2 linked regions of the Ovis aries genome follow. The protein of the gene in region 2 purifies or fractionates together with the protein of the main gene of each other region. This does not show direct contact. Links are inferred from orthologs where the notes say so. Each region holds a gene or a part of one and is shown on either strand. Other genes may lie near its edges.

Region 1 (5,246 bases), on a different chromosome or scaffold from region 2:
GATTTTGTTTGCTAATCTATCTTCCAACAAAGCTTGAAGTTTGAGGGACAGACTGATTCTTTGATTTCCGAATCCCCATGCCCTAGTACATACACTGCTGCTAAGTCACTTCAGTCGTGTCCGACTCTGTGTGACCCCATAGATGACAGCCCACCAGGCTCCCCTGTCCCTAGGATTCTCCAGGCAAGAATAATGGAGCGGGTTGCCATTTCCTTCTCCAATGCGTGAAAGTGAAAAGTGAAAGTGAAGTCACTCAGTCATGTCCGACTCTTAGCGACCCCATGGACTGCAGCCTTCCAGGCTCCTCCGTCCATGGGATTTTCCAGGCAAGAGTACTGGTGTGGGGTGCCATCGCCTTCTTTCAGTACATACACTAAGCATTCCTAAACATTGCAAATCAAGTGAAGGAATCAAGGAGTGCATAGTATAGGAACTCAGGTGTTCTCATTCTAAATCCAGTTGCATCTTTCCTGGAACTAAAGGGACCGAGAATTTTCTCCACTCTTGACTGTAGCCAACAGCCTAGGAAGAGCTTAGGAAGCCTATGGGAAGGCTGCAGAACTGCCCCCTTGAACGTTCAGCACCAGGGTTGAGGAACTCAGTGGAGTGAGAACTGAAATCCGAGTTTTCCTGGCAAGAGCTCAGATTAGTCACATGGAGGCATTTGGAGGATTCCCCAAGACTGCTCATTCCTCAGGGATCACTCACTCCTCCCAGGACCTCCCCTGGGAACAAAGGAAAACCCAAGACTTGGGACTGGGCCCTTTTCCACCAACAGCTGCTAGTAGTTTGCATTTAACCCTGAACCACAATTAAAATAAATGTTGGGGGTGGGGGAGTGGATAGCACCAGCTAGGAAACCCTTAGGTTTTCTCTAAATTACTTCCGAAGTGCTTTGAGGACCAAACAGGCCAATTTCAGGGGAAAAAAAAAAAAGGAAAAAAAGGAGATTCTTAAACAGGTTTTAATCATGTCAACTACAGCCGAAACTGAACGCCAGACCAACTGCCACGCACGCTAAGAGGGGTCAATTTCCAGTTCAACGAAAGGTTCTTAATGCCCTGGAGCTAAAAAGCCAAACAGCACCACCACCCCCTTCACTGCGGCGGGTAGTGAACTCGCCTTCTCCGAGAACAACCCTTAGGCGGGGCGGCGGGTGAGGGGGAGACCCCCCGCAGGCCTTGGACCCCCCCCCTCCCAATTTACCTCTTAGAGTCTAATCTGAAACCAAGTCTGAGGCCTTTGCGTCAGGTGCCCCTCCCTACAATATCATGTAGAAAATAATTCCTAGACCTGTAGTTTACAGACGAGGAGCTTACAATCTGGTTCCGGGCCAGCGCGCCCCACCCGCAGAACGACTGGATTCTTTGATTTCCACACTTACTCGCTAAAAGCAAACCCTAGAGGAAGGGCACGAAAATATTCGAGAGCATTTGAGTAGGAAGAGTTGACAATATCTTTCTCTCTGGGGGCGGGTGGAGGCCTGGAGCGAGGCTACTCCGCATAGCGAGAGAAGGGTGTGTGCGCTGCGCCCGGGGTGTGAGTGTGGCGGGGCGGGGGGAGAGGGAGGCGGGCAGGAAGAGGAGGGAGGGGAAGAGGTGGGGTGAGCCGAGGCCCTGCCACCCGCCCAGGCTCCTCCTGCCTCCCCCCGCCCCCCACCCCCACGTACTAAGGCGCCCTGCCCGCGGCGCTGTGCTCACTGGCCGCGCGTCCCCGCCAGCCGAGCGTCCCCGCTGCGCCTCCCGCCAAGGTGAGTCCTGCCCGCCGGTCCCGGGCGGTCCCCGGCCCCACAGCCCGCGCCCGGGGAAATCCCCACGTCGGCGGCTCCCGCTGGCCAGGCGGTCTTCACCGGGCGTCCCAGGTGTGGGGGTGCGACGATGGTGGTGGTCCGGCGTCGGCTGGGCATGCGGGGGTATCCTCTCCCCGAGCTCTGGGCCACACCCCAGCTGGGCGAGCACCTCCCCTGTCCCTCCCCGGCGCGACCCCCCCAGACCCCCAGAGGAGGGAGCACTTGGCCTTTACCAGTACTTCGGTGTCGGTGCCCCGGGGTCTGCTCTGCGCTACCTTTCGGTATATCTTTGTTTACACCCCTCCTGCTTTTCGACTGGTCTCCGCAGTTACCCGAATCCCTGTTTCTGGCCCCCTGTCCTGGCCGGCTTGTTTCTTTGTGGGCTCCGGCTGCAGGCTGACTTCTGTCCAGATGTTCGTAGCCTCCTAGCTGGACGGCCCGTGCAGACTCGGAGAGGGCTGGCGGGTTCTCGCCCTAAAGGACACCCCTCTGTCCCTCTCCTCGAAGCTTCAAGGTTGGGCTTCCTGTTATTTGTCTGCTAGACGAGAAGTTTCTCTCTACCAGCGGAGGGAAGACGGCTCTATTTGTTTTCCTTATAAAACAGTTTTGCTGAGGGGGTAAGGGGAAGCCATCACCTTCGGCCACCACTGAAGTGGGTTTTGTACTGAAAGGGTTCCCTTCTTGCTATTTTAGTGGATCTATACAGAGATAGAGGAAGAGCAAGTTTAATGAAGGATCTAACACCCCAGATTAACCTGGCCCAGTAAAATGAACTGTTGGTACCTGGACACAATTTGAGCCTGGCAAAGGACTGGTGCTTTGCCCCCAGACCTGAATACCGCACTCTCCAGCCTCGGGCGGTCTCCACCTAACTGAAACCCGGAATCTGCCTTGTTGGGCGAGGGTGGAGGGGCCAGCAGAGCAGCTAGCCCTGTGCCAGGCACCACGGGGCCCTGGTCCAGACTCTGGAATACGTTAAGCCCACCCGCTTCCCTCCCTTGAGGTTTCTGCAGGGCGTGGTTAGCACAAAGGGCTCCCGGATTCTCCTAGTGGAAGCCTGTGACTCAGTTGTGAGACCATGTGGGTGTGGTCTGGATGGTTCCAGACTCTCTGCAGATGGTTCAGACAGAACACTCCCCTGAAGGAAAAGGGGAACTGTGCCATTTTAGAGGGCATTTTCCAAGAGGAAATGAGTCACACCCGGACAGGCCGGCCATCTGAAGGAGAGGTTTCTTGACTGAACTGTGGTTGAGGACAAGTTAGATTGGTAGGGTCATGGCGTTTCAGCTGCTGGGTTATGGGTCTGGATTCCCACTGGCAGGCTGCCTCAGCTTTATTTGGGAGGTAGTGCTTCCCATTGAGAGGTTTGCAGTTACTGCAGATTCTTTTTCCCCTACAGCATGAGTTTCAAACTGCAGCCGTGGACTTATATCCTGCCCTTCAGGTGAGGCCAGGCCCACGGAAACACCCTGTCAGTGATCTTTGCCTCCAGCATATTTCATCAAATTGCAAAAGGTGATGCCAGGCATTAGGGCAGGAATGAGTTCACAATTCATCTGAAATTTCTTCCTCAGCCCTGCCCGCACAGACTCCTGTCTGGTTTCTGTTTAATCATCTCTTCCAAGTGATGTATTCCTCCCTTGACAGCCAGAAGCTACTTTCTTCACTGTGGTCCTTGATCCACCATTTGGAGATTCTTATTTTGTTTCTTCAGATTCTCCTAATGGTCTTCTGGGCATAAAGCACTCTGATTTCTAGGCGATGCTCTTCCCCGGCTTTTCCTGTGTACAACATCAGATGGCCCCCTTGCCTCCCATGTCTGGCACCTGGCCAACCTCTCCAGCAGCTACTCTCCAGTGAGGTCAGGCCTTGGGCTGGGTGGAGCTGAAACTGAGTGCCTCTTTGCTTTCCACGGACAGCTCCAACCCTGTGACTTTTTTAGAGCACTACCCACTTGGTATGGCCTTGATCCAGTCCAGTCTTTTAAAGTTGAAGGAAACAATGGAATCCTTTCAGAGATATAAAGTATAGATTAGCACTCAGACTGCTAGGAAAGCTGATCTTTTTAGAGTCTTAAGGTTCTCATTTTTCTGAGACTCAACAATTTAGGAATCTCACATCGAAAGCAAAAAGAATGATTTTTAACGATTTTCAGCACTTCCTGGCCCTTTATTAAATAACTACCACCTAATCCAACAATGGATTTAATAGCTGTTGTCACAATGGCCGTTTGCCAGTTCTGGCTGATACCTGACAGCTCTTCATGGAGAATTGGATGTACTTTGTTAGGGTAGGAAGGCCTCAGAGTTCTTCCTATAGGATTGTATCTGGAACTCTTATTTTGCCGCTCATTTTCTTAATGGGAAAATTTTATGTTTGGTGAAAGGTGGGAGAGACAGCCTGGATTAGATCCATTGCCTCAACTCACTTTTGCTGAATTCCCTTTAGGGATCAAATTCAAGAATGCCTTTGGGGTTCAATTCCCGATCCCACTCCCCTTCCCTCACCCCCCTTTTTTTTCTTTTTAAAATCATCAAAAAGAAGGACACCTAAGACACGTTTTAGATAACATGTTTGTTTTTACTAACATTCTGCTAATTGTTTTTTGGGTGGGCTGTAAGAAAACTAGGGCATGGACAAGACACAGAAGAGATCAGACTTCTTGCTCTTTAGAAATCTCCTTTTTGAAATTATGGCCTGGATCTGGGCATGGGTCCATAGCAAACATTTGATATTGCTTAGGAGCAGACACTTTTCTAAGGAGGACCCCTACTTCCCTGCTACTCCCAGAAGGCTCAAAATTTATATTATTGTCAATTTCCTTCTTACTGATTCACTGAGCAGTCTCTGAAGGCAGGGTGCTGGCTTCTAAGACCCTGCTCCTGGAGCCCACAGTTTAGTGGAGAAAGACACAGAAGAACAGTTAACTAGATTTCAGGACATATTTTAAAATAGTATGACCTTAGCTGGTGAACTCCCCAAAGTCAAGCACCATGGGGGGTGGGGGCTGTGGAGAGGGGGCCCACACGAGCCTAGTCATGCAAAGTAGACACTCAGTGTAGGTACAGCAAAAATTGAATTCCCACCACTGTAGTTAAATTTGTAGAGCCCAGAAATTTTTTCTGAAGAGACAGTTACACAAAGAAACATATGTGAGTATCCACTCTTCAGACCTGTATAGGAGAAACACAGACATCACAATAAAATGACTTCAGTAAACACGTGAGTGACCAACAATGAGGTAGTTAGAGCTTGTGGAGCTCACAGTGAGAAAGCAATCAAGAGGGATAAACCAAAACTAGAGTAAAAGTGTTGGGTGACCAGACCTGTTTAGCAGGACACACCATTTTCTGCCACACTATGGAATGTACTCTACTGTTCATTCATTGACTGCCCCTTTCCAGGCCCTTCCCAGCCGCTTTGCAGCCCTCACCTCCTGCTCTGCCCCAGTGGCCAG
Region 2 (4,976 bases):
CTTGCATAGTGCCTGACCCATAGGAGGGCTCACTAATATTTGTTTACTATCTGAATGAATATTAAAGAAAAGCTAAAGACTATAAAAATGTCTTGTGAGAAAATTTCATGATTGAGGAGAAGCATGTTACAAAACAGCAAGAACAGTGCATTAAATTAATTAAACATGGAGGTCATTAGACTAAGGTGACCCTAATGCCACCACAACCTGCATCAGCAAACCAAAATTTAAGCCAGTAAATGCCTCAAAGTTACAAAATCGAAAACTAAGGACAATCATTCAGAAACAGCCAACTAAGCTTTACGCTGTAGCCAATCAATAAATTCCTTACTCTGCTTCTGCTTTTCCTCTATAAAATCTCTCCCCCCATATAATGTCAGTGAAGCACTCCTAACCACTTCTGGTTGGGCACTGCCTCATTGCAATCACTTTTTCCTCAAATAAACTCAAATATTTTTTAATATGCCTCAGTTTATCTTTTAACAAGTGCAATCACAATTTTGTGAAATCTACATATGGATAAATGTATTATAGAAAAATGTCTAAAAATATAAAGAGATGTATATACTTGAATTCCTTGTCTCTATGCTGATGCATGCTAGTTACTCAATAAATATTTCTGATTGAATAAATGACATTTTAAAAGTAGTTACCCCTTAGGGGGACTATATGTACAGTTTTCCTTTTCTTCTTTGTAATTTCTATATTTGACAAGATTTAACCAATAAGCGTGAATTATCTTTGTAATAAATAAGAATATGATAAAACATACTTATGCTGGGAAATGTCATTAAGAATTTTGGAGCAAAAGTAGCAAATATAGACATCCTACAATCTAATAAAAAGAATAACATGTATCTTACTTCCCTATTACGTTTTACTGATTGCATTTGGCAATAAGAAATACAGATGTTACAGAAAAATGGCAAGCTTAAGACTGTACAGCAAATTACTATTGGGGTGGAGTCTAGAATGTAGGTCATTTGATTTCCAGGCAAGTAGTTTTTCCATTACACCAATTATTTAGAGTTCTGAAACACTAACTGAATAAATGCAATATTCACTATAAGGCAGTTCTTTACTTATAAGGGAAATAATTTGCTAATTATTTTATACTGTCAGAAAACTCCAAAATTCTAAGAAATACTATGTTTTCACATGACATGAATCATTTGGAGAATCTGAAATTCCTAAAGGTGTTTAAAAATTTGTGCATTTTTGAGGAGCATATGTCATTATTCAGGGAAGGGATCTACAGCTTTCATAAGATTTGTAAAAGGGTCTGTGAAAATAAAAAAGAAGTTGAGAATGACTAAAGCTTAACTCTACAAGCAAGAGGAAGAAAAAAACTAATGGTAAATAAAAGGCACAAGAGAGGAAAAGGAACCACAGCTAATTCTGTCTTCCTCTTTTTTATTCCTGGAACATATTTTTTTAATATGCAAACAATTTGGTTTTTATGACTTTGCTTTCTAAGCAGACACTAGGAATGATACTGATAGGTTAAAAACACAGGCAAATTACCTCTGTGGGATGAGCTTTATCAGGTACTGTTAGCAAGAAGCTGATAAATGTAAAATGTAAAAAAAGGAAAAAATTAACATTGCAAGTCACTTTTGAGATATTTTTCATTCATGTTTAATTGAGAAAAGGAAAATTATTAAATACATTTCTTAGTTTCTTATCCCATGAAATGTGCTTCCCCTACAGGAAGTTTGTGAAGCAGTTTTGAGCAAATGCAGATTAAACACTTCTCTGTGCATTTCACAATTATTGCTTAAATGAAAATTTAACTCTTTCTTTGCACAATGAAAGAACCAAATATCTGTTGTTTAATCCCAATATTCAACTTGATCGGCAAGGTTTAGAGATAACTGGAATATAATTTTAAAACTCTTAAGCAAGATTTGTTTCATTATTCTTCCCTGCAAACCTCTCTTAGGCCACAATTTCAAATTTGTGCAGCAAACAGAAATAAAACAAAACAGAAATTCCCCTTGAATCCAAAAGGTTATACATGCAAATATCATAGGTTGAAATTGACATACATCCAAATGGTCTGCCTCCTGTATGCTCCATCTCCCTTAGATGAATAAGTGCTTACGTCATCAACCAACCTGAAGACCATTTCTTGTTTTACGTTTTGAGGTCATTTCTAAGACTAAAATGAGTACAATATAGGAGACTTAAATAAATTAAACCACTATCATTTCAAATCCAAGTGGCTTTTTTATTATTTTTAACGAATGCTTTCAATACGAAATTACTAAAATAGTTTCCCACTCAAAACTTAACTTTCTTATTTGAGCAAATCTTTTCCACATCTAGTTTCAAGCTCTGCCCTCTTGGCATGTCCAATAACTTAGAAGGACGAATCAGAAGGCCAGTCATTGTACAATTAGTTTTTCAATGTTGTCCATCTTTTCGCATAACACTGCTACACATTAAATACCCAGGTATGCTTTGCATAAGTAACCGAAATGACCGTTTTTCAATTAAACCTTAAATGAGTGGATAAATTCCTTCGCTAAAGAGCCTCAGGGCTGTCAAACAGCAGGTTGCTCGCTCGTATGGGCATTGGCCACAACCTCACGTGGAGCTCTAGCTAGAGTCACCTCGCTGTGGTTCTAAACGTTAGCTTTCTTTCCGGGCTGTAAAAGAAGGAAACGCCTTATCTTGGACTCCACGGTGCCTCTAGCCCCCGGAAAGCAAACTGGCATTTGTTAGAAGCAAATTAAGGTCCCCTGATCTGTGTCTTATTGGAAAATACAGAGGGCATGCAGACTTTCGAGAGAGCGATGCCTCCTAGCCTTCCCTCCGTCCCTTCCTCCTTCCAAGCAAGGTAGAAACTAAAAGTTAGCGAGAGGGGGAGAGAGACCTGGGAGCGAGCGGGGATGGGGGTGCGGGGAGAGTAAATAGATTGCTTACAGTTCCCAGAGTTACAGTGAGATCCTTCGGGCTCCTTTACGCCTCTAGTTTTCAGTCGGGATCCTTTCTTAGCCCGGGACCACAGAGAAGTTCAAGTCTTATCCTTGGTAGGAGGGGCTAAAATGTGGGCTGGTTTCCTTTCGTCTTTGCAGATGCGTTAAGGTGGAATTAAAAAGGAAGGGAGGGAAAGCGCTGTTCTTGGAGGAGTTAACATCTTAAATGTAAACGTTTACTGTTTAGAACTAGGATGCTGAAGTCAGCCAACATGCACAAGTAAAATGTAAGTTAACCAGTTCTAAATTTCATGGATGCTGTGTATGTATGTGTGTGTTTGAAAATCCTTCTTGTCCTTAAGTAGCTACTGCTTCCTCCTTTTTTTTCTCAACAAGAACTCAACTGAAAAGATGAATAACCCAGAGCATTTTTTTTCTTCTTTACAAAAGCAAAGTTTATAACGAACCTAAAGTATAGGCTACACATTTTGGAGATGAACTATTAGACCACTTTAAAAATGAAATCAATTTAAATATTTCCTCCCCAAACACCAAAGGCCAGTTTATAACCACGTGTTTGTAACTTTAAGATTAAAGACATACCAAAGAATGTACTACATATGTTGAGATTTAGGGGGGAAAAAAAATCAAATCAGGTTAAATCAAAAATATGCAAAGTAAATTCAAATACCTGATGTCACTGTAACAAAGAAGGTATATAGATTAAATTTATCCAAATTCCATAAGAATCAATTAGTCTCTTTAAAGACTGACCTATTCGTTTAGTATATCTTGCTTTTCAAACACAGGATCTTCTAATTCGGTCTTTTTTTAATTTATTTTTAATTGGAGGGTAATTGCTTTACAATGTTATGTTGGTTTCTGCCGTACAATACTGTGAATCAGCCATAAGTATACATATGTCCCCTCCCTCTTGAAACTTGCTCCCATCGGCTATTGCATCCCACCCCTGGAGGCTGTCACAGAATACTGCATTGTGCTCCCTCTGTTATACAGCAATTTGCCATTACCTGTCTATTTTACGTATGGTAGTATATATGTTTCAGTGCTGTTCTCTCAGTTCATCGCGCTTTGTCCTTCCCCGCTGTGTCCATAAGCTTGTTCTCTATGTCTGCGTCTCTACTGCTTCTCCGCAGATAGGTTCACCAGTATCATTTCTCTAGATTCCATATATGCATTAGTATATGAATTTTGTTTTTCTCTCTGACTTAACTTCACTCGGTATAACAAGCTCTAGGTTTTATCTTTCATATTGAGCACACTCTTTTAAAACATTTTCGAAGAATATAACTTCTGTAGATGCCATCATTAATATTCTGGAAAATTATTTGCTTTCTGTAGCCCAAGATCCAACTTCTTTTTGTCTTGATTTTCTCCCGTAAATTCAAACTGCTATATCATCAATCTATCCTTCCTAAAGAAAAGGTCTGTGGTGTCTCAGAAAGTCAAGATCTTTTTCTTTCCGAAGAAGATTCTGAATTTCTGAAGGTTAAGTATGCTAAGTAGAGGAACAGAGAGCACACTACTATTTTTTCTTTTTTACCTTTTTCCCAAGGTGAAAAAAAAAAGACTATGTTTTTCATGGCATACATCCTAAGACTCTTGTGAAGAAAGACTCCTTTGAAAAACAGCTTCAACATGCTCAGATCAGTTTGATAATAAAAAATTGTACCTCAGTATTTGGAGGGGATAGCCAACAGTGTGTAACCTGTTAGAGATAAAAGTTTTGATTCTGTCGTTCAGTCACTCAGTCGTGGCCGGCTCTTTGCGACCCATGGACTCCAGTGCTCCAGGCCTCCCTGTCCTTTACCATCTCCCGGAGTTCACCCAAACTCATGTCCACTGAGTCGGTGATGCCATCCAACCATCCTGTCTTCTGTCTTCCCCTTCTCGTCCTGCCTTCAATCTTTCCCAGCATCAGGGTCTTTTCTAATGAGCCAGCTCTTCGCATCAAGTGGCCGAAATTTTAGAGCTTCAGCCTCAGCATCAGTCCTTCCAATGAATATTCAGGACTGGTTTCCTTTAGGATGGACT

What was found.
Region 1: the proteins of PLA2G4A (region 2) and S100A10 purify together in Homo sapiens (affinity purification with western blotting; 3 studies listed by BioGRID). This does not show direct contact. The link is inferred for Ovis aries from reciprocal best matches to the Homo sapiens genes PLA2G4A and S100A10.

Annotation. Positions count from the first base shown.
Region 1 is NC_056054.1:101,965,472-101,970,717, reverse strand, and holds the start of S100A10 (protein S100-A10), read left to right. Parts: upstream 1-1,698; 5' UTR 1,699-1,750; intron 1,751-2,022; exon of another isoform or gene 2,023-2,306; intron 2,307-5,246. UniProt on the Homo sapiens protein: Because S100A10 induces the dimerization of ANXA2/p36, it may function as a regulator of protein phosphorylation in that the ANXA2 monomer is the preferred target (in vitro) of tyrosine-specific kinase.
Region 2 is NC_056065.1:67,363,526-67,368,501, reverse strand, and holds the start of PLA2G4A (cytosolic phospholipase A2), read right to left. Parts: upstream 3,035-4,976; 5' UTR 2,929-3,034; intron 1,565-2,928; 5' UTR 1,525-1,564; intron 1-1,524. UniProt on the Homo sapiens protein: Has primarily calcium-dependent phospholipase and lysophospholipase activities, with a major role in membrane lipid remodeling and biosynthesis of lipid mediators of the inflammatory response.